7 linked regions of the Mus musculus genome follow. The protein of the gene in region 1 binds, or shares a complex with, the protein of each later gene. Links are inferred from orthologs where the notes say so. Each region holds a gene or a part of one and is shown in the gene's direction. Other genes may lie near its edges. The genes, in order: Crcp, Polr3d, Polr3k, Polr3e, Polr3f, Polr3c and Polr3g.

Region 1 (4,289 bases):
GGAGTCTAAACACAGTGTGTTATTTATGCCCTGAACTGGTCCTCCAACTGGGCTGTCAGCTAGCTTGGAGAGTGTGTATTATTCACATCTGAATCACCAGCACCCAGTGGGCAATCACGGTAAGACTGTTGAGCGAGTAACACCATGAACACCATTGTGGGACCCATTCTCCTCAAGACAGGTACAGGGCACCATTCAGTCTTACGTTATGATGACATTTTATTTACTTGATAATTTTTTAATTTAATTTTTTCTTATTTTCAAATACCATCATTCTTGGATGTACCTGTTGAACACACACACACACACACACACACACACACATGTGTTGGTTTTTATGAGACAGAGTTTTCTTTTCTTTTTGTTTTTTTGAGACAGGGTTTCTCTGTGTAGCCCTGGCTGTCCTGGAACTCACTCTGTAGACCAGGCTGCCTTGAACTAAGAACTCAGAAATCTGTCTGTCTCTGCCTCCAAAGTGCTGGGATTAAAGGCATGTGCCACCATACCAGCCAGACACCCTCTATTTCTAATACATTATCCCCTGCAAACCATTTTAACACTCACACCAATCTCAGCACTGGGAGGCAGAGGCAGGCAGATCTCTGAGTCTGAAAGGCTACTTAATGAAAATCTGTCTCTCCCCCCCAACTCCCAATTTTTAACGGTTGTATGGGAAACGGGATCTCTACATAGCCTACGTTGACTAGAATTCACCATGTTGCCCAAGCTGTCCTCAAACTCAAGGCATTCCACCTGCCTCAGCTTCCTACGTGCTTAAACCATTCCCCCAGTTCTATTTCTGTCTGTTGAGACTGGGTTTCTCTTTTCTCTGCCTCCTTCTTTCCCCCTTGTTGGAATTAGAGGCTTGTGCTACCTTGCCTGGCTTATGTTTTTTGTTTTGTTTCATTTTGTTTGGTTTTTTTTTTTTTTTTTTTTTTGGTTTTGTTTTCTGTTTTTTTGAGACAGGGTTTCTCTATGTAGCCCTGGTTGTCCTGGAACTCACTTTGTAGACCAGGCTGGCCTCGAACTCAGAAATCCGCCTGCCTCTGCCTCCCAAGTGCTGGGATTAAAGGCGTGCGCCACCACTGGCCGGCATGTGTTTTTTGTTTTTAACAAAAACAAAAACACAAAGTCTCAAATAGCCCCCATGGCTTGAAAGTCATTATGTAGCTCAGGCTGGCCAGAAACTCCTAACACTTCTCCTGCCTCAGCCTCTCTACTGCTGGGTTTACAGGTATGAGCCAGTATGACCGGTTTAGGGATTTTAATGCGGCCAAGGCAAATCCTAACAAAACCTGCACTACGAAAACGCTCGACAGTCTGAAATTAGACCAGGATAGGGACACCTAGAATTAAGGAAGAACCGGGCGTGCCCCGCAGCGATCCCGGCATGCACCCCGGCGGTCCCAGCGTGCCTTGCGGCACACACACGGAACCGGTGAGCAGAGCAGCGCCGGCGCAACGTGAGACTCTTCTCACGGCGGTTGCGTACGCTGAGGCAGAGGCAACATGGAAGTGTAAGCGACACGACCAGGGGAAGCCAGGATCATCTGGGGACCGCGAAGCGGCCGGCGGCTAGACCTCGGGACCCGCGAGCAGGACGGGTGGGCGGGGTGCACGGGCCGGAAGTGCCTGGAAGTGGGGCGGCAGGGGAGGGACCCTGCTGCTTGGGAACTCGCTCGCCTCCCACATCTTTTGGGGAGGGGAATGTTGAAAGGATAGAGAGGTTTCCTTTTTTTCTTTCTTTTGGTTCTGGGAATGGATCCCAAGACCGTGCACGCGGTCTGGAAGTAGTGCGACCCAGAGATAACGTCCCAGTCATTATCATTACTATCTTGGGATGTGGACTTTGCATACGCTAGGGAAACACTCTACTACTGACTGAGTCATATTCCCAGCCAGCATCATCACCATCATCGTTTTGTGATGGTGGAAATGGTACCCAGGACTTTGCTGGGCAAAGGCTTTGCCACCGACCTGCATCGCCAGCCATTATCGCTATTGTTATTTTGGAAATTTGAGGAAGGTACCCAGGGTTGTGATCGTACTGGGTGTGCTAGTTTTCTTTCGGTTGCTGTGACAAACACCATGACCAAAGCAATTTAGGAATAGAAAGGTTTTTATTACATCTTACACTTCCAGGACACAGTCCATCATTGAGGGAAGTCAGGGCAGGAACTCGAGGCAGGAAACCGAAGCTTCAGAAACAGTTCAAGAACTCTGATGGCTGGTTTACTCTCTGGCATTTTCTAATTTTTGTTTGTTTGTTTGTTTGTTTGTTTTTTTGAGACAGGGTTTCTCTGTGTAGCCCTGGCTGTCCTGGAACTCACTTTGTAAACCAGGTTGGCCTCAAACTCAGAAATTCGTCTGCCTCTGCCTCCCAAGTGCTGGGATTAAAAGCCTGTGCCACCACCAGTTGGCCAGGTTGTACCCTCCTGCATCATTTAATAATCAAGACGATCCCTCATGGACATGCCCATAGACCAGCCTGATAAAAGGCAGTTTGTCATTGAAGCTTCGTCTCCTTTTGATGATTCCAAGCTGTTTCAAGTTGACAGTTAAGACCAACCAGAAAACCAGGCCAAGTTTCCCCCCCACTCCCTCCAGACAAGGTTTTTCGGTAGAGCTCTGGCTGTCCTGGACCACGCTTTTTAGACCAGGCTGGCCTTGAACTCAGATATCCATCTGCCTCTGCCTCCTGAGTGCTGGGACTAAAGGTGTGCGCCACTACCGCCTGGCAACTAGGCAGATTTCTGAACAGTACCCCCAGCTGTTGTTGGGATATACTCTTCTTCCTTCTCCTCATCATTATGGTCATCATTTTGTGATGTTGGGGATGGTACTCACAGTCTTACACATGCTTGGCAGGTACCACTGAATGACAGACACCTTCCACACCGTTATTATCATTGTTATTGTGATGATGATGTGGTGTGGTGCTGGGGATAGAACCTAGGGATGGTAAGCAGGTACTTTATTACTAACACACACACACACACACATACACACACACACACATATACACATACACACACGCACATACACGCACACACACACACACACACATATACACATACACACACGAACATACACACATATTCTCTCTCTCTCTCTCTCTCTCTCTCTCTCTCTCTCTCATGTGGTGTTTGGGATGGAAGGGACCTGAACATGCAGACAGTCACTCTACTAACAACAAAGCTACCTGTCAGCTTATTTTTCCACACTTTTTTTTTTTGTTTTTGTTTTTTTTTTGGGACAGGGTTTCTCTGTGTAGCCCTGGCTGTCCTGGAACTCACTCTGTAGCCCAGGCTGGCCTCAAACTCAGAAATCCGCCTGCCTCTGCCTCCCGAGCGCTGGGATTAAAGGTGTGCGCCACCACACCCGGCTCCCTGTGCCTTTTAATATATGGTCTACTATATAGTCAGAGTTGGGAAACTGGACCTCTTCTTCCTTTTACAGCTAGCACTTAGAAAGGAGAGGCAACAGATACATAACAAGCCAGCAATAGGCTTCAGATGAGAGTGCCTGTTGGCTGGCTGTGAGGTGGGAGGGAGCTCTAGGTGAAGTGTTCGTTGACTTCGATGCCTTCTGTTTTCTGGTATCAAAGGGTAGCTTTTCAGAACATGAATTGATGGCATGCTGCTTTTAAGCTTAGAAAAGTTTAGCAATTCTGTTCGTCACTCCGTCCCTAAGTCAGGTGTGTGGCAATTAATAGGCACTGCTCACTTGTTTGGTGTGTGCTTGTGTGTGCTTTTAAGGAAAGAGTGTCAATAGATCATTTTGTTCTGTGTATTCAGAACTCTGTTTTCCAAAATGCCTGTTTACTTCTGTTGAGCTGACTCAGCAAACTTTGCAGGGTAAATTTCAAATGGCAAGTCAGCTTCAGTTCACTAAGGAGTTGCTCAAGGGCACTGAATAACCACCCACCTACCGCACAGACTCCACAGTCTTTAAAATTCACTCGGACCCAGGGTCGTGCTCCTTAGGAGTGGGGGCAGGAGGAGCACAAGGCCGAGGGCAGCCGCAGCTGCAGAGCAGGTTCCAGGCCAGCCTGTGAGTCTGTCACAGTGAGAGCCTGTCTCAAAAACACACTGAAAAGGCCCAATCTGTACTGAGGCGATCCTGCCTCCACCGCCCTGTCCCCTTCTGCGCTGGCTTGAGTTGTCCGGCAGTGACTTGGAATGGCCAAGGTCACGTTTCTCAATCACGAAAGCAGAGAGCCGTGGGATTTGGAAATGACATTACCTGTGACTCAGATAGAGCCATTGGCCCTGAAGAGATCTCCCAGG
Region 2 (4,263 bases), on another chromosome or scaffold:
TTTCCTCCCAAGTACTGGGTTTACAGGCATGCACCAACATGCCTGGCTTGTCACATAATTTCCCCCCCCCCCTTTTTTTTTTTTAAATAACTGCATATGTATGACATCAAAATGAAGTTTACTTATTTACTATTTTCATTTTATTTATTTATTTTGGTTTTTCGAGACAGGGTTTCTCTGTGTAGCCCTGGCTGTCCTGGAACTCATTCTGTAGACCAGGCTGGCCTCAAACTCAGAAATCCACCTGCCTCTGCCTCCCAAGTGCTGGGATTAAAGGCGTGTGCCACCACTGCCCAGCAAAGTATACTTTTAATATGTACATTTTCTGAAACTCTTTCCTAGGGATATAATCTACAAGAAAGCAAAAAAGTTGGATGTATCAAATGTACACTAGCTATTTCTAACAACATACCTATTTAAAGTAAGTGCCCCATTAAGGAAACAAGTTACGATATATACATATAAATATGCACATATATATCCTCCCATTGGTCATTTGTCTCCGACAAAGAATACACTATTGTGTGGCACAATATTACAGTACATCAAAAATATTTTAATGCTAGCAGCCTATGGAATTCCAGCAGAAATAGGTTCCTTCCCTAGAATTACATAACCTTTTTATTTGTATTGGGGTCGCTGTAGTGTAACATTAAATGACTCCCCCCCCCCCAGATTAGATTGCAACCACACATTACAATAAAAAAATTTTTCAGCTGGGATTGGTGGTGTACATCTGTAATCCCTACAACTGAGGGATGAGTGAAGAGACTGGACTGCTGCAAATTCGAGGCCAGCCTGGTCTACTTAAGTTCCAGACTAGATAGGGTTACAGAGCAGGGTTGTCTTAAAAATACCCACACCTCCCAACCAAAAATCAAAAAACAAAAACCCTTCCAGTTGAAGAGCAAACTTCAGTTCCAAAGGCTTCCCAGATTTGACTAAGCAGTCATGGGCCCAGGTAGATGAGAAGAGCTATTGGCTGCTCTGTCCAAACTGCGTTAAGGGTGACACCCCAAGACCCCAGGGACCGGCAAGGGAAGGCGCACGCGAGCAAAGGGTCGAGCCCGAAGGTGCAATGACCACGCCAAGGTCAACGCAGGGAGGCTGCAGCCAGCCACGGCCTGAGGGCTCTAAGCTCCCTATGTCCGGAGCCCCATCCCGAGCGGCGACCCCACTGCTCCCAGAGGCTGCGCAGTGTGGACTCCACATACAGCAGGTAGGCGACCTTGGAGCCCCTCCACCTCCGACCCCGAGGACCGCACCTCTACTCCCTGCCAGGGGCCGAGACACGCCCCCACGAGTCACACCCCGGCACAGCTTACAGTCCACCTCCCACATCCTTTTTCGCCCTCTCAACCCAGCTTTTCCCGACTCCGGGAAGAACCGGGAAGAGAAGGCGGAGGGCGGCGAGGCACCGTCGGATAAATACTATGGTCAGGTCACGCCCCCTTGATGTCACTTCCGCCCCAGGGTAAGATGGCAGCGCCCGGTCCTTGCCACGCAGACTTCCGCCTTGCCCGGAGACCCGCGGCCCGTGGTTGCTCTAGTCGGAGGTGAGGTTGTGATACTCGGCGCAGAGCCTCCACGCAGGTGCGTCACGAAGTCCCCAGGGAAAGGGCAGGTGACGGAGTCCAAAGCTAGGGGTGGGGCGCTCCGGGAAGCCTCGCCACGTGGGACGGGGAGGAGCTGAGCTGCAGCGAGAGCGACGCACGGGCGGGGGGCGGGAGGCCACGTGGGTGCGGTTCCGCCCAGGGTCCTCGCGTCCAGCCCTTGGAGTCACTTTGTTGCCTACTTTCTTCTAGGAACCATGTCGGAAGGAAACGCGGCGGGCGAGCCCAGCAATCCTGGAGGGCCGCGACCCCTTCTCTCTGGGGGCCGGGGGCTGATCGGCCGGCGGCCCGCACCCCCGCTTACGCCCGGTCGCCTTCCCTCCATCCGCTCCCGGGACCTCACCCTTGGCGGAGTCAAGAAGGTACCTGCGAGCGCGTTTGTATAGAAACCCACCCAGGCCGTAGGGAGGCGACTCGTGATGTTCATTCATGTGCTGCCTTGGGCCCCTGGTGGGATGTCAGCCTTTAGAGAGACCTGCAAACCTAGGTGCTGGTACAGGACACTGACAGGGTCTCCTAGGCAATTAAAAGACAGTGAATCTAGTTGATTCAAGACATCCGGAAGTGCTTATTATGTTCTGGGCTCCTTACAAAATCCCTTGAAAGCCAGACAAAATTGCTTTACTTGCAATTTCGAGTGTTCATAACTCTGTGGATGTCAGTATTGAAAACTAATAATCTAGTAAGTGATGAATCTTAGGCATGCCGGTAACTGCTCTTTGTCCCCTCCTGTTATGTGTGTAACAGTAGATGTAACTGTACCGAGTAGCTCTGAAAAGGAATAGCAAACACAGGATAAAGCATTTTAGCTTTGCCTTGGGGGCTACTGGTGATAGTCTACCTGTCTCTCTAAGCCATCCCAGGACTGTTGGTCAGTTGAGCACATCGAAAATACAGTACTGTGTTTTACTTTTCAGAAAACCTTCACCCCAAATATCATCAGTCGGAAGATCAAAGAAGAGTAAGTAATGAATGAACAGTACTCACCCCGGTTAGCTCTGAATTTGGGGACGTAATTAGGTTGTGTGGCCTAGAGATTTTAACTTACGCTATTAGCTTATTCACCAGTGGTTCTCATCCTTCAATCCTGGGTTATATAGGGGCATGTTTCTTTTTGAGACAGTGCCTCGCTACATGGCCTTGCATGTCCTGGAACTCACTTATGTAGGTTGCTGGCCTAGAACTCCCAGAGATGTGCTTGCCTCTCAGACCTGTGTCCTGAGTGCTGGGATTAAGATGTACACCTCCACGCTTAGCTCCAGGGCACTTTGCATTAGAGGGTCTTTTTGGTTTTTGTTTTGTTTTGTTTTTTTTCTGTAATAAATAGCTGAGATAATTGGCTTACAGAGAGGGACATTTTGTTTTGGAGATTTTAGTCCACGATCAATCAGGTGGTTCTTGCTTTTGGGTTCATGGTATGGCAATGAATGCAGTCGGAATACCCAAGGGAAGAAAGAAATTAAGGAGAGGAAAGGGCTGAGTTTCTATTCTCCTTTAGGAGCTGGGTAACCACCCAGTAGGCTCCATCTCTTATAGTTTCAGCTACCTTCTGTTTCTGCCGAGGTGGGGCTGAACTCTCCAACTTTGCCTTAAGGTCCTCTGCTCTCCAGCCTTTCTACTTTTAGAGGGTTAAAAAACCAACAAACAAAACAAAAGGCCCACATTTTGACAAGACGGTAAAGTAGAAGGAAATTAAAGGCCGTGCTTTATGGGAGATGTCAAAGGTATAGCGAAGGGTTGGGTGCCGATTCTCGTAGTGTACTTACTGGCTCACAAGCTCTGCTCAGCGGGCTGAAAGGGGCAAGCGAGGAGGCTCCATTTCCTGAGGCAGACCCTTTTGTCTGTCCTCATTCCCAGGCCAAAAGAAGAAGTGACTATGAAGAAGGAAAAGCGTGAACGGGACAGGGACCGCCAGCGTGAGGGTCACGGACGGGGACGTGGCCGCCCGGAAGTGATCCAGTCCCATTCTATCTTCGAGCAGGGTCCGGCAGAAATGATGAAAAAAAAAGGTACCAGGAAGGGACCTGGTCTGGGTTGCAGTTCAGACTGCCTGAGAAGGCAGAGCGTGGGAGTCTCCATTCCAAGTTGGGCTCTCCTCGCTGTGGGCAGTCTTCCTTATTGAACCCTAGTGGACAGCATGATTTCCCGCAGGGAACTGGGATAAGACCGTGGACATGTCCGACATGGGACCTTCTCATATCATCAACATCAAAAAAGAGAAGAGAGAAACAGACGAAGAGACCAAGCAGATCCTGCGCATGCTGGAGAAGGATGACGTAGGTGCCAGGAGCCTGGGGGACAGGTTCTTTTGTAGCTGCTAAAGAGGGTTTTGAGGGAGCCAGGCCAGGGACATGTTCAAGCTTTTGGTTACAGGAGCACTAAAGAGGGGCTGGGGGTGCAGCTCAGTGGAGAGCGAGCTTGCCTCTGTGTGAGACGTACACATATGCAAAGAAAAGAGAGAGACACAAGTCCCGAAACGGGCTGTGATGTAAGCACACGTGCTGACATTTCATGTGACCCCCCCCCCCCTCCAACTCTTTGGCAGTTCATCGATGACCCGGGGCTAAAGAATGACACACGGAACATGCCAGTGCAGCTGCCTCTGGCTCATTCAGGGTGGCTTTTTAAGGAGGAGAGTGAAGAGCCAGAG
Region 3 (4,334 bases), on another chromosome or scaffold:
GGAGCTGATGCAGAAGCCATGGAGGGATGCTCTTTACTGGCTTGCTTCCCCTGGCTTGCTCAGCCTGCTCTCTTATAGAACCAAGACTACCAGCCCAGAGATGGTCCCACCCACAAGGGGCCTTTCCCCCTTGATCACTAATTGAGAAAATGCCTTACAGTTGGATCTCATGGAGGCATTTCCCCAACTGAAGCTCCTTTTTCTGTGATAACTCCAGCTGTGTCAGGTTGACACAAAACTAGCCATAAATATTTGGCTTACATGTCAAGAGTCCATTGTTTAGGGGAGTCAATGCAGGAACTTGCTGCAGAAACAGAAGCCATTACCATGGTGGGATGCTGCTTACTGGTTTGCTCCTCATGATTTACTCAGATTCTCAGATTGCTTTTTTCTCTCTCTCCATTTTGTTCTTAGACTTACTTAAGTGTATGAGGGTTTTTGTTTGTTTGTTTTTTTTTTTTTTTGAATGCTTGTTCGTGCACCAAAGACGTGCTTGGTGCCTACGGAGGTCAGAAGAGGGCATTGGATTCTCAGGAACTGGAGGTTATGGACGTTTGTGAGCTACCATATTGGTGCTGGGAATTAAACCAGTGTTCACTATAAGAACAAGCAACAGCTGAACTATCTCTTCAGCCCCATCATTCTGCTTTCTTATATCACCCAGGACCACTGGCTTGGTGGTGACACCGCCCCCAATGGGCTAGACCCTCTCCTACCAATTTTAACTCAAGAAAATGCCCCCAGAGACTTATTTACTGGTCAATTTATGGTGACATTTTCACAATTGGGGTTCCTCTCCCTGGATATTTAGTTTGTGTATAGTTAAAGCAAACAGAAAACAACACACACATACATGTGCATGTTGCAGAATGACTGCAGAGGATTAAAGAGGCAAGGAGTTTCAAAGAAATCTGAGAAGCCAGAGCTGGGAAATATAAATGTCTATAGGAAATGAGATAAAAGAGTCAGCTGGACGTCTGTGAAAAGGAGCTGCTGGTATTTGTTACCTGCAGGGTTGAGTCTAGCTGTGTAAGTGAAAGGGCAGAATGAAACTAGGTGAAGAAATGGCCAGATGGAGGAATGGCAGGTCCAGATAGGATATCGTACGTCAGTCAGACAGCAGTTGAGACGTAGTATTAACAATGGGGACAGTGTTCCTGGGACATTTGGTTATTTTCTGTCCGTTCCGGATGAGAATATTGCGGAGCAGCATGATCCTCCTGTAACACGTCCATGGCTCGGAGTGCGGCAAGTGTCTCCTCATCACCCAGAACCTCTCACCTGGGTACTCTGGTGGTGCCAGCATTATCGGTCCAGTCCTCTTGGCGTTTCAGCTAGGGAGACGTGTGCACACGCGCAGAAACGACAGGGCTGGGCGTGCAGGCAGCATGCTATTGGCTGGATGGGAAAGGATTATCTGCGGTGACCAATGGAGTGTGCGAGGCTGCCCGCCGCAGTGCCTACTGGGAACGTCTTGAGGATCCCGGGTTGCCAGTTACGGAGCAAGTGAGACGGCTTTTGATTGGGCGCCTGCACCACGGAAGCGCCAGACAGAAGCGAGGTGTGGAAGCTGGCAGTATGCTGTTGTTCTGCCCGGGCTGCGGGAACGGACTCATTGTGGAGGAGGGGCAGCGTTGCCATCGCTTCGCCTGCAACACTTGCCCCTACGTCCATAATATCACCCGTAAGGTAAGTTCCACAGACGGGTGCCTTCTCTGCTTTCTGGGAGGCACAGCAAGCGTCGGCGCGCTCAGACCTTCCTGCAGGCTTTTGTGCTCTCGCTGCGGTGGTACCCCAAGTCCAGCAGTCGCTGCTCCAGTGGCGTCGCTCCGGCCACGTCGAAGCCCCCCCACCCCCCTCTAGCTCTCCGTTGCCCACTTTGTGATACTCCGAAAATTGTGAGAATTTTAGTTCATACCTTTTAAACCTACACTCCCCTCGTGCTGTCCTTGGCGTACCAGTCCGCGCCTCGCCTCTGATTTGAAATCCTTGGGTTCTTCTTGTGGCTCTTTTGCTCCCAGCCCCTGTCGTTATTCTAGAGAATCTTCACCATGTACGCAGTACTGTTAGGTCCTTCCTTTTGCCCGAGTCATTCTTACACAGGCACATATCACACTTATTCATTCTCCGCCTTACCCCCTACCCCCGTGTATGTGTGCATGTATGCGTCTCTGTTTCCCTCTTCCTTTCTCTCTCCCTCTCCTCTTTTAAAATAATGGCTACCTTATTTAGATTCCTGCCCTTCTGGCTGTTTGTGCATGTCTATAATTTTAGCACTTGGAGAGGCTGCGGCAGGAGAATAGGTTCAAGGCTCACCTGGGCTGCATAGCACATAGACACGCACACACACGCACGCACAGGCACAGGAAACAAACCAAACCCCAGCACTTTCAGTTTATCCACATTCCTTTTATATTTTTCACAGAATGCATTGCCTTCTAATATTTTATATCCTTGTTGCTATTTTGTGTGTGTGGTGCTTGTGTTGGAGCCCAGAAAGCTGTATTTCTAGCCCTTGGTGTTTTGTGTACCCTTCAACTCTTGTTTTGTTCCTCCTTACCTCAGTGACTGCAGGTGTGCACCACTGGGCCTTGGTGACATCTCATTCTTAATGTTTGCTCATTAGAGCTGTATGGTAGGAGTTTAGAGTCTGGATTTGTGGTAAGATGAGTTGTGACATAATTTCGAAATTAGAAGGATGCCTGATAAACTTAGGAAAGCAGCCAAAATGACCTGGGGAGTGCTGGTATACCCAGTTAAATGTCTGTCACTCCTGTTGGATTATTAGGTGTCTGAGGGGTATGAGAGAAGAGTGAGGTTTTACTAGGCTGATTTTTCTTCCTGCTCTGTCTGGTGTTTCCTTCTGTTTCTAGAGACCTTTGACATTGAACCTCTGTGCTGTTTTGGGGGACATCCCAGTCACAAGACCCCTACATTTCAGTGACTCACACTGCTCTTTGAAGAAGATAAATTTTGTAGAGGGAATGCTGGAGGGAGATTGTAGTTTGGTGGCCCACTTGTAAAACTGTACAATTACTTCAAATCTGATGTCTTGTTTCTATTAGGTAACAAACCGAAAGTATCCAAAGCTAAAAGAAGTGGACGACGTGCTTGGTGGAGCAGCTGCATGGGAGAATGTGGACTCTACTGCAGGTGAGGATTTTCCCATAACAGAGCTAGGGACTCAACCCTGCTTATTATTACTCGTTATTATATTTAATAATAATAAATTTATTATTATAATGTAACCCTGTCTGTTATTAGGGCCAGTGAGATGGCTCAGCAGGTAAAAGCACTTGTTGCCAAACCTGTTAGATTCTTGGAGCCCAGAGAGTAGAAGAGAGCTGACTGATGGAAACTTTTTTTTTGTGACTCTGTACCATCCACCACACACACACACACACACACACACACACACGTACGTACGTGTAAGTGTAAAAGAATTTAAGAAGATGTAAATAACAAAGTAATGACAAATAGCTAGTGTTTGTCACTAACTCTAAACAAGGTTTTACATTTTTGTTGCTGTTTGATTTTGTTTTTTGAGACATGGTTTCTCTGTGTAGTCTGGGTGTCCTGGAACTTGCTCTGTAGACTGTGCTGGCCTCAAATTCAGAGATCTACCTGTCTGCCTCCCGTATGTTGGTATTAAAAGCATATGCCACCACCACCTGGCTGTATTAAATGTTTTTTAAAGTAGATTCTTTCAAGTATTCTTTAAAGGAAAGTTACCATACGGATACCTGAACTGTTGTTTCATTTAGACTCTCAAGTCAGATATGGAAAAGTATAATTAAAAATAAATCTGGTGCATATTCTCTTCTTGAAGCAAAATTGGAGTTCATTACAAAAAAGTTTCAACATTGATGTAAACATAGCTGTTGAGAGGGAAAGAGAGATCCATGCTCTAGCAGGTGTAGGCTTCTCGAGAGTTATGTTGTATGTATTTTCAAATACCAACACTGAAAAAATGATCAGCCCTGGTCTTTTATTTTCATTTTATTTTTTATTATATGAATTAAAAAAAAATTGTAACTAGGGGTGAAGCATGGTTGCTCAAGCTTATAATTCTGGTGCTCTCCGGGTATAGGCAGAAGGCTCAGTGCTTATCTGGGCTTCATGAGACCCTGCCTCAGTCAGTCTGTCAACCAAGAAATAGTTGGGTAGGATTTCAGTGGTTAAGTTGGATTTCCTTCCCAACTTCCATAGCAGCTCAGACCTTCTGTACTTGTAGTTTCAGGTGATCTCATGCCCTCTACTGGCATCCAAGGGTACTGCATGAACATGATTCACGGAATACCTGAAGGCAAAACATGCACATAAAATAATGTTAA
Region 4 (3,574 bases), on another chromosome or scaffold:
GGCTTTTTGTGTGGACTGAAACCCTGGTGTCCATTGGGAAGGACACTGGTCACTCTTGCGTCTAGGTAGGGACCTGGCTGGGAGTGTCCCTGGGGAGCTGTGCCATGGCACTTTCCAAGTTGGGTGGTGCTTTGTACCTTCAGGTAGAGCTTGAGATGGCCATCGACACCCTGAATCCCAACTACTGCCGCAGCAAAGGGGAGCAGATCGCACTGAACGTGGACGGTGCCTGTGCTGACGAGACTAGCACATATTCCTCGTGAGTTCCTGCCCCCAGGGTCCCTCCCACTGAAGGTAAAGGTTAAAGAGGAGTCTCTAGTGGCCTCAGGCATTGGGTCCTTTCTGCCCTTTCCCTGGGATCCCAATCATGTCAGGTCTCTACCGTTAACCAAGAGTGTTGTTGGCCTTCCCTCCTACGTTGGCTTATCCCAGCGGGTGCCCATCATTATCCCTTGATCCCTCAGAGCTCTGGGTTTTCTCATCCCTTAGTCCTAGCTAGTATACATTGGATTGACAAGGCTCTGAGAATAGAGGAAGCGTTCCAAAGTTGTATCACAAGTGCTCACTTTTAATCCCAGCACTCGGGAGGCAGAGGCAGGTGGATCTCTGTTGGGATGGAATAGGGTTGGCCGGCTTCTGTAGAGCATCATAGCCCTTGACACTAATTCTCCTTGTGTTCCCAGAAAGCTGATGGACAAGCAGACCTTCTGCTCCTCCCAGACCACCAGCAACACAGCTCGTTATGCCGCTGCACTCTACAGGCAAGGTACCTGGGAGAGCTGGCTATACCCTGGGAGAGCACGGGGAAGACTGGGCCTGAGGACCTCATCTAGTCTTATGTGTGCTGTTGGCTGCTACTGAACACTAAACTGTGCAGGATCAGGGCAGTGTGGAAATGAAAAACTATGGAGTCAAAGCACTGCGAAGAGGACTTTGCTGGGCACTTCCAACTTGGTAGAGTTGGAGCTTCAAGTCAGTTTGCTCCTGGGAACACATATGCAACATAGCATAGTATTGGACAGGCTGCAGAATTTTGTCCTTTTAAGTACATGCTACTTAGAACCAAGCAATCCTATTCATACATGGGCAGCATGCACTGAGGACAAATAGAAATATGTGTATATAAAACCTTGGACACAGATGTTCATAGGACCTTATTCATGAGAGCCAATGAATGGAAACGGCCCCAAACCTATCACGTGATGCCTGCGTAAACAAAATGTGCCATATCCACAGGACATCTATAAGGATAACAGACTTATCTGCTCATGTGAAAGAGCGAATCCCTGATGAATGTATGCATCCATGTGGATGGTAGAAATCATGCTCAAAACACTGCATATAGCCAGGCATGGTGGTACACACTTTTAATCTCAGCATGCCCTTAATCCCAGTGCTTGTGAGGCAGATGCAGGTGGATCTCTTGAGTTCTGGACCATCCTGGTCTAAATAGTATATAGGACAGCCAGGGATATAGAGAGAGACTTGTCTCAAAACAGACACCACTAACAACAAAAAAATGATAGCGAACTACGTGCTTTAATTTTCTTTCCTATTCCTGTGACAAAACACCTTGACAAAAGCAGATGAGGGAAAAAGAGGTTCACAGTTGCAGTTTACAGACCTTCCTGAGAGGCTGAACCAGCAGGAAGTAATTACACAGTCAAGATGAGAGCAATGAATACATGTATGCATGTAGTACTCGGCTTGCTCTCTACACTCTTGTTCAGGACCCTCTGCCCATTGTAACAGTTCCACCCACAGAGAGTGTGCTGTCTCGTTAATCACCATAATGCGCCACAGACGTGCCCCAGGCTAACAGTCTAGCCACTCTGACTGAGACTCCAGGTGTTGTCAGGTTGACAGAGCTAACCATTCTACTATATCCCCAAGGGCAGAAGAAGGTGATCATGGGAAGTACAGGTTCTTTTTGAGGTGTTGAAGATGTGCCAAAGCTGAGAGTGGCAGAGTTGCCACAATTTTGAGACTATATTAGTGTATATCAAGCTGTGTGCTTCAGCTGGGGGTGTCTAGTGTGTCAGAGCACACTCCGCACATCTGTTGGCTGCTCAAGGTACTACATTCAGCACTTGGGCTTTGCAAAGCAACGAATGACAGGCTCTGAGAAGAGAGGAGACATTCCGAAGTGTATCACTAGTGCTCACCTTTAACCCCAGCACTCGGGGGCAGAGGCAGGGCGTCTGGTATATTACACGGTACGTCCAGGACTTCTAAGGCCATGTAGGGAGATCCTGTCTCAAGAATCCTGTTGTCGTCCATAGCTACTGTCTTGTTCTGAACTACAGCTCAATGCTGCAACACTACCCACCCTCCTGCCCCCCGCCCCCTTTTTTTTCTTTTTCTTTTTTTTTTTGAGATAGGGGTTTCTCTGTAGTCCTGGCTGTCTTGGAATTCACTCTGTAGACTAGAGTGGCCTCAAACTCAGAGATCCACCTGCCTCTGCCTCCCAAGTACTGGGACTAAAAGTGTGTGCCACCACTGCCTGCTCATCTGTTGTTAGATTTATTATGTCTGACTGCTTTGTCTGCACGTGTGTATGTACATTGCTTGCGTGCCTGGTGCCTGCAGAGTCCAGAATTGGAGTTAGGAGTGCTTGTGAGGGGCCGTATTTGTGCTAGGAATCAGATGTGGGTCCTCTTGAAGAGCAGTAAGTGCTCTTAACTGCTGATCCATCTCTCCAGCCCAGGAAGCTATAATCCTTGCAGCCAGAGACATATTAGTTAAAGGCTATGCTGTCCTCTAATGGACTCTGGTAGGGTCTGGCAACAGCACTATAGCAGAGCCCAGAGGGAAGAGTGGGTGAGTTGTGCATTGTGGATAGAGGGAGCAGTAGGCATGAGGTTGGAGACATGACATGGCAGAGAGTGTAGAGAGGCAAATCTCAGGAAGTAGCCTTGAGCAGAATCAGGCTCCTGCTCTGGGCGTGCTTAGTGTGTCTAGTTGGAAACAGCTCCTGACCTGGTCTCCTGAAGAGGCTAAATTGGAATTGGAGTTGGCTTGGTGTTGTAACAGTGAGTGTAGGCCTTCTGGGGGACTTGGTGTTTCCTTTGAGCAAGTTGGGTATGTCGGCTTTGGGTTGTAGCGGCATGTTCAAACCCTTCTTCTTTTGCCAGGTGAGCTCCACCTGACACCTTTACATGGCATCCTACAGCTTCGGCCCAGCTTCTCCTACCTTGATAAGGCAGATGCCAAGCACCGAGAGAGGGAGGCAGCCAATGAGGGTGAGCCTGCTGACAGCCTGTGGTCTGAATGAGCTCACGTGAGCACTTGACAGAGATCAGGTGGTGGGATTCTTACTGACATGCCAGGCCCTTGCCTACTAAATACCACATCTGGGACAACCAAAAAATGTCCCCACAGATGGCCAGACATCACCTGAGGATTAAACTGCTCCAGTTGAGAGCAGGGCCCCTTGCTTGGCGCTCTTGAGGGAGGGTTATGTTGGGGCAGAATGAGCAGTCCCAGTAGAGACTGTACTGACAGCTTGCTTTGCAGCAGGGGATTCTTCTCAGGACGAGGCAGAAGAAGACGTTAAGCAGATCACGGTGAGCTC
Region 5 (3,574 bases), on another chromosome or scaffold:
TATCCTAAAATGGTGCAGTACAGGTGTTTAGTGAGTGGCCAGAATAGCCTGAATAAAGGACAGATGGGGACCTCTGAATTGAATTTTGTGATCCCATGTTGCCGTTTCATGAAGAAGGGAGGGCACTGCAGTTTATCCAGTAAGTAAACCTATTTTACATTCTTAATATGCAGTAGGGCCCCCTCTTGGTTATAGTTATATATAACTTCTGCAAGTTCAGTGGTACATGCATCTGGATTCTCAGGATGCCCAGGTCCAAGGAGGTTCAAAAGCACGATAGAACATGATTTATCTTATTTTGCTTCATTATAAAAAATACCACTACAGGAGACCTTTTGTTCACTGGTTAACCTTTTTGCCTAATTCTCCATTCACAATTAAATTGTACATGTTAGTAAATGTCATTAATAACTATAGTTTAACTTAGTATACTGTTGAATATTCATGTTTATACTTTATCTGGACTAAATTTTTATCAGTACAAATTCTATTTTAATTGTATCTATCCATATTTTATATAATTGGGACTTATTTAGAATCAATATGGATATATATATATTATCCTAAAACAACTTTTTAAAAATGATTTCTTTTTATTTATTGTGTGTGAGTGTTTTGCATGCATGTATTGTCCCTGCACTGCATGCATGCCTGGTACCCACAAAGACCACAAGAGGACACTGATCTCCTGGAACTGAAGTTAGACTGTTGATAGCTGCATGTGGGTACTGAGCACTGAACCCCAGTCCTGTGTAAGAACTCTTAGTGCTCTTCTTAACTGCTGAGCTGTCTCTTCTTCCCCCAGGTTAAGAGCGTTTGCTACTCTTACGAAGGCCTGAGTTTCCAGTACCCACATACAAGATGATTTGCACCTGGCTGTAACTTCAATACCAGGGATTCAGTGCTCTCTTTTGGCCTCCATGAGCATTGTTTACAAATGGTGCACAGATATATATGCTAGCAAAATATCCATATATAAGAAATAAAATAATTTTTCCCCTGAGACAGAGTTTCTCCGTATAGCCTTGACTGTTCAGAAACTCACTCTGTAGACTACTAGGCTAGCCTAAAACTCATGTCTGCCTGTTTTTGTTTCCTGAGCCCTGGGATTAAAGGTATGTGCCACTACCACAACTGACAATAGATTTTTAAAAAAAACTTGTTTGTGGCTGGGTGTGGTGGCACACGCCTTTAGTCCCAGCACTTGGGAGGCAGAGGCAGGCGAATTTCTGAGTTCGAGGCCAGCCTGGTCTACAGAGTGAGTTCCAGGACAGCCAGGGCTACACAGAGAAACCCTGTCTCAAAAAAAAAAAAAAAAAAAAAAGAAAAGAAAAGAAAAGAAAAAAACAAGAACAAACTTGTTTGTGCCCTGGCCAAATTATGAAACCAGGTTAGTATATAGGACACAATTAGTATCTCTAGCTTGAACTGTCTTTATATTAGTTTTAAAAAATACCTTGTTTGAGGTGTGCAAACAAAATCCTCAGTCTCGGATGAAGAACTAACAAATGTGGGTAGCAGAATAGTGTGTATAATCAACACATTTAAAACTGTAGTAAACTTGCCATCTGAACTGATATATTTCCAGAGTAATTGACTATGATATTTTATTTTAAAACGCTTTAGGGTCAGTTGGATCTTTTAAGGAGTAACACAGGCCTCTTATATAGAATAAAGGATTCTCAGAATGCTGGGTAAGTAAGCACCTATTTTTTAATTTTGTGAAAAATGTGTTTATTGCAAAAGTAATGTACATATTAAAACAAATGCTAACATAGTAACAGGTATTGTGGCACACACCCATATCACTGCACTTGGGAAGTAGGGCAGAAAATTTAGGGCTATCCTGAGCTACACAGCAAGTTGAGGGCCAGCCTGAGCTATGTGAGAGACTGTATGAACATAATGTAGCTCAGTATGTGGTGCACACCTGTAGTCTTGACACATGGGGGCAGAGGCAGAATGATAAGGTTGAAGACAATTTTAAGCTATGTGTCAAAAGATCCTGCCTCGAAGTAAGAACCCAGAAGAAACTGTACCATCCTGCTTTTGTTCTGTGTTTCCATTTCCCAGAGGACCTGCTCTTGGTAATTTCTTCTAGACAGATTTAAATATTCATGGATGATTCTATATATATTATTTCTTTTTTCCCTTTCTTTCTCGCTCTTCTTCTTTCTCTCTTTTCTTTCTTTCTCTCACAAGTCTGGATCATGCTATCCATACTGTTCTGTAACTTTTTTTTTTATTATTTATTGTACTTTGGACATCTTTTCATATTGTTACACACAACTCTGTCTCATTCTTTTTAAGGTAAGCCTTTCTTTTGCTAAATAAGTCAGCATGATAGCCTTGTCTGCTAATGAAGTAGTCATGCAGATGATAACACAGCCTACAATTTTTCCTTTTTTAATTCTGCTCTATTCCCTGCAGTAAAATGAAGGGGTCCGATAACCAGGAAAAACTGGTCTATCAAATCATAGAGGATGCAGGGAATAAAGGTGAGTATGGGAAGGGTGAGGTGCTGTCTGCAGGGCTAGACCTAAAAAAGTGTTCTGTTCATTTGTTTACGAGAAGGTCCCATCCTGTAGACCAGGCTTTCATACTCAGTATCTTCTGGTCTGGTCTTCCTGATATTTGAGATTGCAGGCATATCCTGTTACATGCAGCTAAGCATGTATGTTTTGTACATAGTCTCTTTCTTCATGTACAACTTTGTTTGAAGGAAAACTCATAACTTCCCACAATGGGTATTGAGTTTAAGAACCATAGCCTTATTTTTTTCCATCTTACAAGTAGGATGTTGTTTAAATAATAGATGTACATGAATTGAAGCAGGTAAACTTTTGTATCCCCCACCCCCACCCCATGGTTGAAGATGGCAGATGAACATGATTCAAATTTAAGTTCCTTTTCATTTACAGTGTTTTTTTTGGTTTTTGTTTGTTTGTTTTCGTTTTTCTTGTTTTTCGAGACAGGGTTTCTCTGTGTAGCCCTGGCTGTCCTGGAATTCACTCTGTAGACCAGGCTGGCCTCGAACTCAGAAATCTGCCTGCTTCTGCCCTCCAAGTGCTGGGATTAAAGGTGTGCGCCACCGAAGTGAAACTATCAGGAAGATGAGATTAGGGTAAAAGATTGGAAAGGAGATGTGATGTAAGCTAATTCAACCATGTTCGTGGTTTGTGTGGTGGGGTTTTTTTTTTTTTTTTTTTTCATTACAAAAATGTTGTTGTTTTATATATATTTTAGAAAATGTCCCTCTAGATGGTGATACATCACTTTATCCTAGTACGAGGAGAGGCAGAGGCAGGTGGATCTCTGAGTTCAAGGCCAGCATGGTCTGTACCGCAGCTGCATAGTGAGGCCCTCTCAAAAAACAAACAAAACAAAACAAAACCACACCAAGATTCCAGGAAATGTTCAGTTAGAATGACAAAGCATATACTTTATCACTGGCTCTTGTAGTCTGTCTCTATCCCAGTGTTTGGTTTGGTTTCTTCAGGTTTTAGGTTCTGAAAACAGTTCTGAACTTTGAGTTAAATGATGTGCTATCAGCTTTCCTATTTTCTTACAGGAA
Region 6 (4,021 bases), on another chromosome or scaffold:
TGGGCAGAAAAAAAAAAAAAATGGAGGGGGTGGGCTAGGAAAGTGGAGCTAAAGACACTGGCAACGTGATATCCAAAATAAGTTGAGACAGTACGTCCTACCTTCTTCCCAAAGCCATTTCCTTCGATAGCAACAGGGAGCGCAGTCTGCAAGTCATTGGTACACTGCTATTTTCACTTTCACAAGAACCCAAAAACCACTGAAGAACAAAATCTCCCTCTTCCCTGTTACCTTCCAAACCTCCTCTTTCTGTACTTCAACAAAACCTACTAAGAAGTCCTCAGCAATATGCTATTTCGGCTCACTGAGGATGCAGAAGGGGGGAGGATCTGGTTGAGAAGTGGGAAGAAAAATAAAGAGTAGGTGAGCCGCAAAAACGGAAAGAGTACAGGGGATAGGTCATCGCGAAAAGACAAGGAAGGGGACTGAGAGCAAATTGGACGCAGATTTGCCCGAGAATTCACCGAGGAGACAAAAAAAGATGGGGGTGGTATTAAAGAGCGGAAGCGAAATGAGGGGCTGATTGGAGACGCCGCGGAAATGAGGGATAGGCAGGACCCTGGCCCTGATGCCCAGGGTTTGCGACCAGTGCCCGGAGACAGCGGGCAGCAGGTACCGAGAACACCGGTGTCAAGGGAATCACGGGTGTGCGGGCAGCCTAAGACCCGGTTTCCAGCCCTAGGAGCCAAGGACCTACGCGGCGCCGGAGCGCGGGACACACGGGGCTCTTACCGGTAGTTTGGGATTGACCTCGCCCTTACAAAAGTGGCAGAAGAAACGGTGTGCGGCGACAGCGGAGCCCGCGTCCGCCCCCGCCGCCGAGGCCTCCGCCATGTTTCGCCTCCGCCGAGGATGTCCGAAAGGGCGGCCGGCGGTCCCTCCCCAGGCCGCTACCTCCCGTGCTGCGGTCGCCACCGCCGTCGCCGCCTCCTCTGGGCGGCCCGCCGCTCCGAGGCCCGCAAGGGTCACGTGAGTCCGCCCGGCCCCGAGAGGCCCGCCCGCCAGCGGCCACGCGACCCGAGGCCCGCCTCCCGGCACCAAAGGCAGAGGAGAGCCCGCCCGCCGGCACCTCAGACAGCCCCTGGCCGGTCCTCCAGCCTCCCAACGAGAGGAGAGAAAGAGCGTCCCCGGAAACCACCGACACTGTCGGCTAGAGCGGCCCGTGCTCTGACCCTTCCGCGTCCGCCTGGATGGTGCTCTACTTCTAAGAAGGGGCGATGGGAAGCTCATGAGCTGAGGCTGCTGGCCTCGGGAGGACAACATTTGGAGCTTCTAAATTAGCCCCGACCCTGAGGTTAGTGAAAACGCTGCCGGAATGAGGAGGCCCTGACTCAGGGCCAAGAAACAAAGTCCGGAACAGAAACTTGCATGAAGGGAGAGGAGCCAGGAAATGCATTCAAGGATGGCAACTGGTCTAAGGATGTTTCTCCAAAGACGTGTGTGTGGCTAAGTGAAATAGTCTTCTCTGCGACACTGTGGCAAGAGGGACAAAAATTTAGGTTCGAGAGAGTTGGAGCTTGTGATAGGGAGGTAATTTCAAAATCAACTACACCCATTCCTGCTTGTGTCTCATGATGTAAAAATTTAATATGGTTCTCAATGGAACATAACTTCATCTCCTAATTGAAATACCCTAAGAAGCTCTTTTTTTACTTTATCTATCTAAGTCGTGGTTTATGGCTTGGGAATAAGTTGTACCCCACTGGGTCATGAGCCTTAGGTCTTTGTATCTGTGACAGAAAGTTATTCGCACTTTCCCTCCCCCTTTGCTTTTAAAGGTCTCACTCTGGACCAGATTTGCTTGGTATTTATTATGTAGCCCAGGCTGGCCTTCAGTTTATGACAGTCTTCTAGCTTTAGTGCTGGAAATACAGATGTTAGCCACCATACCGAGATGAATCCAGTCTTTAAAGATTATTGGAACCACAAACCACATATATTCCCATTAAAATAAATGGCATATATAGGGGAGGATGGCTTGCCTTTTTTTTTTTTTTTTTTTTAATTTTAATAGGATCTCATGTAGCCAACCTGGTTTTGAACTCAATATGTAACCATGAGCTCCTGACCCTCATACTTCCACCTCCTAAGTGCTGAAATTGTAGGCTTGCACCACCATACCTGGCTTTAGAAAACAAATTTGATGTCTAGTTTTCTAGTTCTTTGTTTTGGTGGGTGGTGGGTGTATTACCCACCAGAGTCTTGCTGTATAACACAGGCTGGCTTTGAACTCACTTTGTGCCCAGGTTGACCTGGAACTATTGATTCTTTGACTTTGGTCTCCTGTGTGCAAGAATTACAGGCAGTGTACACCATCATATCTGACCATTGCAATTACTAAATGACAACACATTAGGAATATTTTATGGTAGTTATATTGTATGAAGTCATTTTAAATGTTGGCATAGTATACTCTCTTAAGGTTATACTATAATTTATTGATAGATGCTAGATTATTTATGTCAATGCCAGTATTGTGAAGAGAACTCATGGCATGGTTTTTACTACATCCTTGGAACAAAGGATCTCAACTTATAAATATTAAGGCAAATATATGCCTTAATATATAGAGGGTTTGATTTATATTGTCAAGTTGCCCTCTAGAAAAAAAATATGTGAATTTATATTGTTGTTCTTTCCTAGTTCTGAGGCTCTAAGAACGATGACTCAAGCAGAGATTAAACTGTGTTCTTTGTTGCTGCAAGAGCATTTTGGTGAGATTGTAGAAAAAATTGGAGTCCACCTAGTCAGAACTGGAAGCCAGCCACTTAGAGTAATTGCCCACGACACAAAAGCATCCCTGGACCAGGTATGTTTAGATAAGAGAGTCTGTTCCTCTTCAACTTCTTCAATCATTTCCTTCAAGTACCTTTGGACAGGAGAACTCCTTCCCCTAGAAAGTATGAACAGAGACCGTCTGCCCTGTGGTCAGTACCACAGTGGGTGGGGTGGGGTGTGGTATTGTACTTAGGCCCCGTGTACTGCCGCTTGTGGTGTTCCTAGCTCATCTTGGCTGTTCCCATGCCACACTCATTTATTCACAGTAAGTCTACTGGTGGGGTATGGCCTTTAAGGAATACAGTGATAGAACAAAGTAAGCTGGGCTGCCCATCCTGGCCCAGAATGTAGCTCAGTTGGTAGAGTGACTACATTGTAGTGACAGTTTGAGGATTTTGGTTTCTTTAAAAATACAAAAATAGAGCCGGGCGTGGTGGCGCACGCCTTTAATCCCAGCACTCGGGAGGCAGAGGCAGGTGGATTTCCGAGTTCGAGGCCAGCCTGGTCTACAGAGTGAGTTCCAGGACAGCCAGGGCTGCACAGAGAAACCCTGTCTCAAAAAAACAAACAAACAAAAAATACAAAAATATTATAAGAATATTTTTTCATTTTAATCCCAAGTATGCAGATATGGGGCTGCTTCAGACTGTCTATGATTTGCCTCATGTTCTAGCAGAGGCATGGTTCTGCCAGCTATAGATAGTTCCTGTGATTGTGCAGTGTCTGGGATTCTGGGAACTTTTCAGAGTGTGTATAAATGCCAGCCCCAATATGTGGAGTCGGGGGGTTGGTGGTCATTTAGGGAAGTTGTGATTTACTAGTAGTGTTGGTCAAAGAAGAAACGAAAGAAATTAAATTCAGGGATTTTCCTAATTCCTCCTTGTTTCTCTCTTATGAAGTGTTAGAGGGTGAAACCCGGGTGGGGATGGGAGTGGGAAGGGAGTATCAAGGGTGGGAAAAAGAAGAACCCACAAAGTAGCAAAGACCATTCACACTGCATAGCAGCTAAAATGTCCTGCTTTGATCTCCAACACTGTATAGAACTGGGTGTGTTTATGTTTATGATCCCACGACTTGAAAGGAGGGGCTGGGAAGTTCAAGGTCACCCTCAGATACACAACAAGTGTAAGGCTTCCCTGGGCTCCAGGAGAACCACATTCAAAACAGAAAACTAGAAGAAAGATAAAGATCAGACAAAATAAGCCGGGCGTGGTGGCACACAGGCCTTTAATCCCAGCACTTG
Region 7 (3,574 bases), on another chromosome or scaffold:
CATTTTTGCCTTCTCTATTCCCAGCCACACTAAGCGCACATTTGTTACCACCACCCTGGATCTTTGGTTAGTTCTTTTTTGTATAGTCTTTTTTTCTAATACCGGATCTCACTCTTTAGGCCAGGCTACTCAGCAGCTCACACACCTCCACCTGCTTCCCGCTCGTCTTCCCTTTCTTACAGCTAAACCTCCAAGCCACTTAAATTTTTTTTTTGTTATTAATTTTTTTCATGAAGTATTTTGATTGCTTTTCCTCTTCCTCAATTCTTCCCTGATTCTTCCCACCTCTAACCTTCCTAACTTTGTGTTCTCTTTCTCCATCTCTCTCTTTAAAAAACAAAAACCAAGAAACAAAACCAATCAACCAAACAAAGAGGCAAGAAACAAATTCTCACAAAGATACGAAAAGAAAAATCATAACAAATGGGTAACAGGAAGATCAAATAATAACACACAAAACCAGTAAGCTTTGGCCAACTGTTCCTGAGCATGGAGCCTAGGTGTATCTAGTGAAACTCCACTGGAGAAAACTGTTTGTTCCCTTTGCCAGTGGGTACCAATGGTTATGGCTGGGATCTCATGAGCACGTCTCCTTCTTAGTGCTGGGACCTCATCTGTCTTGAACCTGTGTAGGCCCCATGTATGCTGCCACCATCTCTTGGAGTTCATATGTACATTGATCCTGTTGTGCCTGAAGACATTGCATGGAATCATCAGTCACCTCCAAACCTTGAGGGGAGTCGGGAGAGGTCATCCCACTCGGGACTGAGAGCTCCACCCACTCAGGACTGAGAGCTCCACCCACTCAGGACTCACAGCTCCACCCACTCAGCACTCACAGCTCCACCCACTCAGGACTCACAGCTCCACCCACTCAGGACTCAGAGCTAGTCAGGTTGTCTCAGGCTGAGAACCAGGTTTAAGGTTGCTGTCTCTGCTTAGCCCGTCATTGCTATCAGTGAATTTTATCCAGGTTACTCTAGTTGAATTTGTCAATGTTGATCCGGTTACGTGTGTTATATACAAATGTAAGAAATACATGAAAATAAGAGACATTATCTGGTGATATAAGTTGCTTTAAAGAATAGCTTAAGGGCTGGTGAGATGGCTCAGTGGGTAAGAGCATTGAATGCTCTTCCAAAGGTCTTGAGTTCAAATCCCAGCAACCACATGGTGGCTCACAACCATCTGTAATGAGATCTGAAGCCCTCTTCTGGAGTGTCTGAAGACAGCTACTGTGTACTTACATTAAAAAAAAAAAAAAAAAAAAAAAAGAATAGCTTAAGTTTTTGTGTTTCTAATGAATGCTTTTTCTCTTCTCACCCTAGATGATATTGAAAGGTATAGCAAACGATACATGAAGGTCTATAAAGAAGAATGGGTACCAGGTACTATAAAATTGAGTGTGCTTTTACAAAGATTCATCTTAGTTGTATTTATGTCTGTGTTTGTGTGTGTCTATGTCATGTTTGTGAGTCCCTTGGAGGCCAGAAGGAGTCAGATACCCTGGGGCTAGCATCCCAGGACAAGGCTGCTGTGACCTCCCTGATGTGGTTCTTGAAACCAAACTTTGATGGAAGGCAAGCACTCTAAAGCATCTCTCCAGCCCCTTCAAATACTTTTTAAAGACCACCTTCCCTATCAAATACCATAAAAGTTTATTAGATTCTTGGGCGTTTTCTTTGTTTTTAGCTGTCGAAAAGTAGAGTCTTTTTTTCCCCTCCTGTAATTAATTAGTAATGAAAATCACTTTAAGGATACCTTAAGTCTTTCTCATATGCTATGAGGCATAGACAAGTTTTAGCTACTAGCATACCATTTTGGTAGAAAGATGCTGAGAGGCTCGTTGTTAGCATTCACAGGTGTGACATTGCATAGCGACAGGCAGAGGGGACCTTAAAGGAAACTCATTAAACCAGTTTATGTTATAAACAGAAAACAATTGTCATAGAAATGAAATAACCTGTCAGGGTCTCTTACCAATACTGCCTGCTGTCCCTCAGACATGCATCCTTTTATACCTGTGACACTAATGTTTTTATAGAAACTGCCCTTAGGTGACTGTAAATATCATTTACAAGCTTGTCACTTTCCCAGAGTAGAGTGCTCTCTTTGCCTTGTTGATCTTAAGATGTGGGGCTAGGATGGGAACCCCTTTCCAAATCATTCTTTTTCATGGTCTAAGAAGTTTAAAACTAAAATATATGGGGCTGGAGAGGTGGCTCAGCCGGTAAGAGCACTGTCTGCTCTTTCAAAGGTCCTGAGTTCAAATCCCAGCAACCACATGGTGGCTGTACAGCCATCTGCAGTGAGATCTGACGCCCTCTTCTGGGGTGTCTGAAGACAGCTACAGTGTACTTACATATAATAAATAAATAAATCTTAAAAAAAAAAACCCTAAAATATATTCAAATCAAAAATTATCTTTGTAGGTAAAATGATAACAATGGTTAACTATTTTGTAAAAATACTCTGACATTCCTTTATCAGCAGCTCCTATCTTTAAACCATTTTTGAATATTTCAAATATTTTAACTTATATATTTGTGTTTTGTGTACATGTGTGCACATGCATATGTTTGTGTATACACCAAATGTGTGTAGATGGCCTGAGAAGGCCAAAAAAGGATATCAAATTTCCTAGAGCTGGAGTTATGCATGGTTGTGAGCCACACAGTAGGGGTGCCGGAAGCTGGACTGGGGTCCTCTGAAAGACCAGGAAGTGCTTTCACTACTGAGTCATCCCTCCCTCCAGCCCCCTTGAATCTATATTTAAAAACAAGACTAAGGATTGTAGAATACTTGCCTAGCATATACAAGGCCCCGAGTTAAATTTCTAGCACCCTCCAGAAAATTAAAAGAAAGTAAATAAAAAAAGGAATTGTTTAGTTAATGCAACGCGGAAAGCCATCCCTTGGGGAGAATTTATATGTTCAGAACTACTAGTATTTTTAATTGAAAATTTCAAATAATTATTAAAATTATTTTATGTCTTATGTATTGGCTTTGATTACCTGCCTTAACTTTTGAAAAAAAAAGTTACATAATATGTATATATCAACAGACAACTTAGAAAATACAAAGTAGCCAAATAATAATAGTAAAGAAAGCACTTGTCATCTTGATAGTAACATCCACAAAGAATTTCCATAAGATTTTTTTTTCCAAGACACTTAATTACACCATTTCAAAGCTGTTTAATGAGATCTTTTTCTCTACAGGAGAAACTATGTCAGGGTCGTTCTATTTATATTGGTTTTGTTTTGTTACATTCCACACTAAATCTGTACAAGCAGATACTAAGAAATGTTGCTGTCTTTGCATGAGCAGCTGTTACTGTGTTAACTAGCTAAGTCCAGAGCCACCAAGGACACTGAGACTTTTCTATTCTTTCTTTTGTACACATAGATTGGAGAAGACTTCCAAGAGAGATGATGCCAAGGAAAAAATGCAAAAAAGGTACACTGGCTAATAGACTGTAGTCCGAGTTTGTAAGAGTATTGCTGAAGCTCGGTATTGCAAATTCTCTAAGTGTGTCTGACATTTTGATTGTTTTACTGCCTCTTAGTGACTG

Evidence for each region.
Region 2: Crcp (region 1) and Polr3d share a complex: the UniProt entries of both Homo sapiens proteins name them as parts of the RNA polymerase III complex. The link is inferred for Mus musculus from reciprocal best matches to the Homo sapiens genes CRCP and POLR3D.
Region 3: Crcp (region 1) and Polr3k share a complex: the UniProt entries of both Homo sapiens proteins name them as parts of the RNA polymerase III complex. The link is inferred for Mus musculus from reciprocal best matches to the Homo sapiens genes CRCP and POLR3K.
Region 4: Crcp (region 1) and Polr3e share a complex: the UniProt entries of both Homo sapiens proteins name them as parts of the RNA polymerase III complex. The link is inferred for Mus musculus from reciprocal best matches to the Homo sapiens genes CRCP and POLR3E.
Region 5: Crcp (region 1) and Polr3f share a complex: the UniProt entries of both Homo sapiens proteins name them as parts of the RNA polymerase III complex. The link is inferred for Mus musculus from reciprocal best matches to the Homo sapiens genes CRCP and POLR3F.
Region 6: Crcp (region 1) and Polr3c share a complex: the UniProt entries of both Homo sapiens proteins name them as parts of the RNA polymerase III complex. The link is inferred for Mus musculus from reciprocal best matches to the Homo sapiens genes CRCP and POLR3C.
Region 7: Crcp (region 1) and Polr3g share a complex: the UniProt entries of both Homo sapiens proteins name them as parts of the RNA polymerase III complex. The link is inferred for Mus musculus from reciprocal best matches to the Homo sapiens genes CRCP and POLR3G.

The regions. Positions count from the first base shown.
Region 1 is NC_000071.6:130,027,891-130,032,179, forward strand, and holds the start of Crcp (DNA-directed RNA polymerase III subunit RPC9), read left to right. Parts: upstream 1-1,415; 5' UTR 1,416-1,509; coding exon 1,510-1,517; intron 1,518-4,289. UniProt on the Homo sapiens protein: DNA-dependent RNA polymerase catalyzes the transcription of DNA into RNA using the four ribonucleoside triphosphates as substrates.
Region 2 is NC_000080.6:70,440,663-70,444,925, reverse strand, and holds the start of Polr3d (DNA-directed RNA polymerase III subunit RPC4), read left to right. Parts: upstream 1-1,454; 5' UTR 1,455-1,593; intron 1,594-1,698; exon of another isoform or gene 1,699-1,805; 5' UTR 1,806-1,810; coding exon 1,811-1,975; intron 1,976-2,530; coding exon 2,531-2,574; intron 2,575-3,470; coding exon 3,471-3,622; intron 3,623-3,762; exon of another isoform or gene 3,763-3,764; coding exon 3,765-3,889; intron 3,890-4,158; coding exon 4,159-4,263. UniProt on the Homo sapiens protein: DNA-dependent RNA polymerase catalyzes the transcription of DNA into RNA using the four ribonucleoside triphosphates as substrates.
Region 3 is NC_000068.7:181,862,881-181,867,214, forward strand, and holds the start of Polr3k (DNA-directed RNA polymerase III subunit RPC10), read left to right. Parts: upstream 1-1,479; 5' UTR 1,480-1,578; coding exon 1,579-1,689; intron 1,690-3,065; coding exon 3,066-3,153; intron 3,154-4,334. UniProt on the Homo sapiens protein: Core component of RNA polymerase III (Pol III) which synthesizes small non-coding RNAs using the four ribonucleoside triphosphates as substrates. Can mediate Pol I proofreading of the nascent RNA transcript.
Region 4 is NC_000073.6:120,927,745-120,931,318, forward strand, and holds part of Polr3e (DNA-directed RNA polymerase III subunit RPC5), read left to right. Parts: intron 1-143; coding exon 144-259; intron 260-683; coding exon 684-766; intron 767-3,134; coding exon 3,135-3,242; intron 3,243-3,504; coding exon of another isoform or gene 3,505-3,516; coding exon 3,517-3,566; intron 3,567-3,574. UniProt on the Homo sapiens protein: DNA-dependent RNA polymerase catalyzes the transcription of DNA into RNA using the four ribonucleoside triphosphates as substrates.
Region 5 is NC_000068.7:144,530,728-144,534,301, forward strand, and holds part of Polr3f (DNA-directed RNA polymerase III subunit RPC6), read left to right. Parts: intron 1-1,626; coding exon 1,627-1,694; intron 1,695-2,430; coding exon 2,431-2,498; intron 2,499-3,571; coding exon 3,572-3,574. UniProt on the Homo sapiens protein: DNA-dependent RNA polymerase catalyzes the transcription of DNA into RNA using the four ribonucleoside triphosphates as substrates.
Region 6 is NC_000069.6:96,724,622-96,728,642, reverse strand, and holds the start of Polr3c (DNA-directed RNA polymerase III subunit RPC3), read left to right. Parts: upstream 1-1,203; 5' UTR 1,204-1,294; exon of another isoform or gene 1,295-1,530; intron 1,531-2,643; 5' UTR 2,644-2,662; coding exon 2,663-2,809; intron 2,810-4,021. Other genes in the region: E3 ubiquitin-protein ligase RNF115, read right to left, coding at 733-834. UniProt on the Homo sapiens protein: DNA-dependent RNA polymerase catalyzes the transcription of DNA into RNA using the four ribonucleoside triphosphates as substrates.
Region 7 is NC_000079.6:81,687,011-81,690,584, reverse strand, and holds part of Polr3g (DNA-directed RNA polymerase III subunit RPC7), read left to right. Parts: intron 1-1,328; coding exon 1,329-1,388; intron 1,389-3,408; coding exon 3,409-3,459; intron 3,460-3,574. UniProt on the Homo sapiens protein: DNA-dependent RNA polymerase catalyzes the transcription of DNA into RNA using the four ribonucleoside triphosphates as substrates.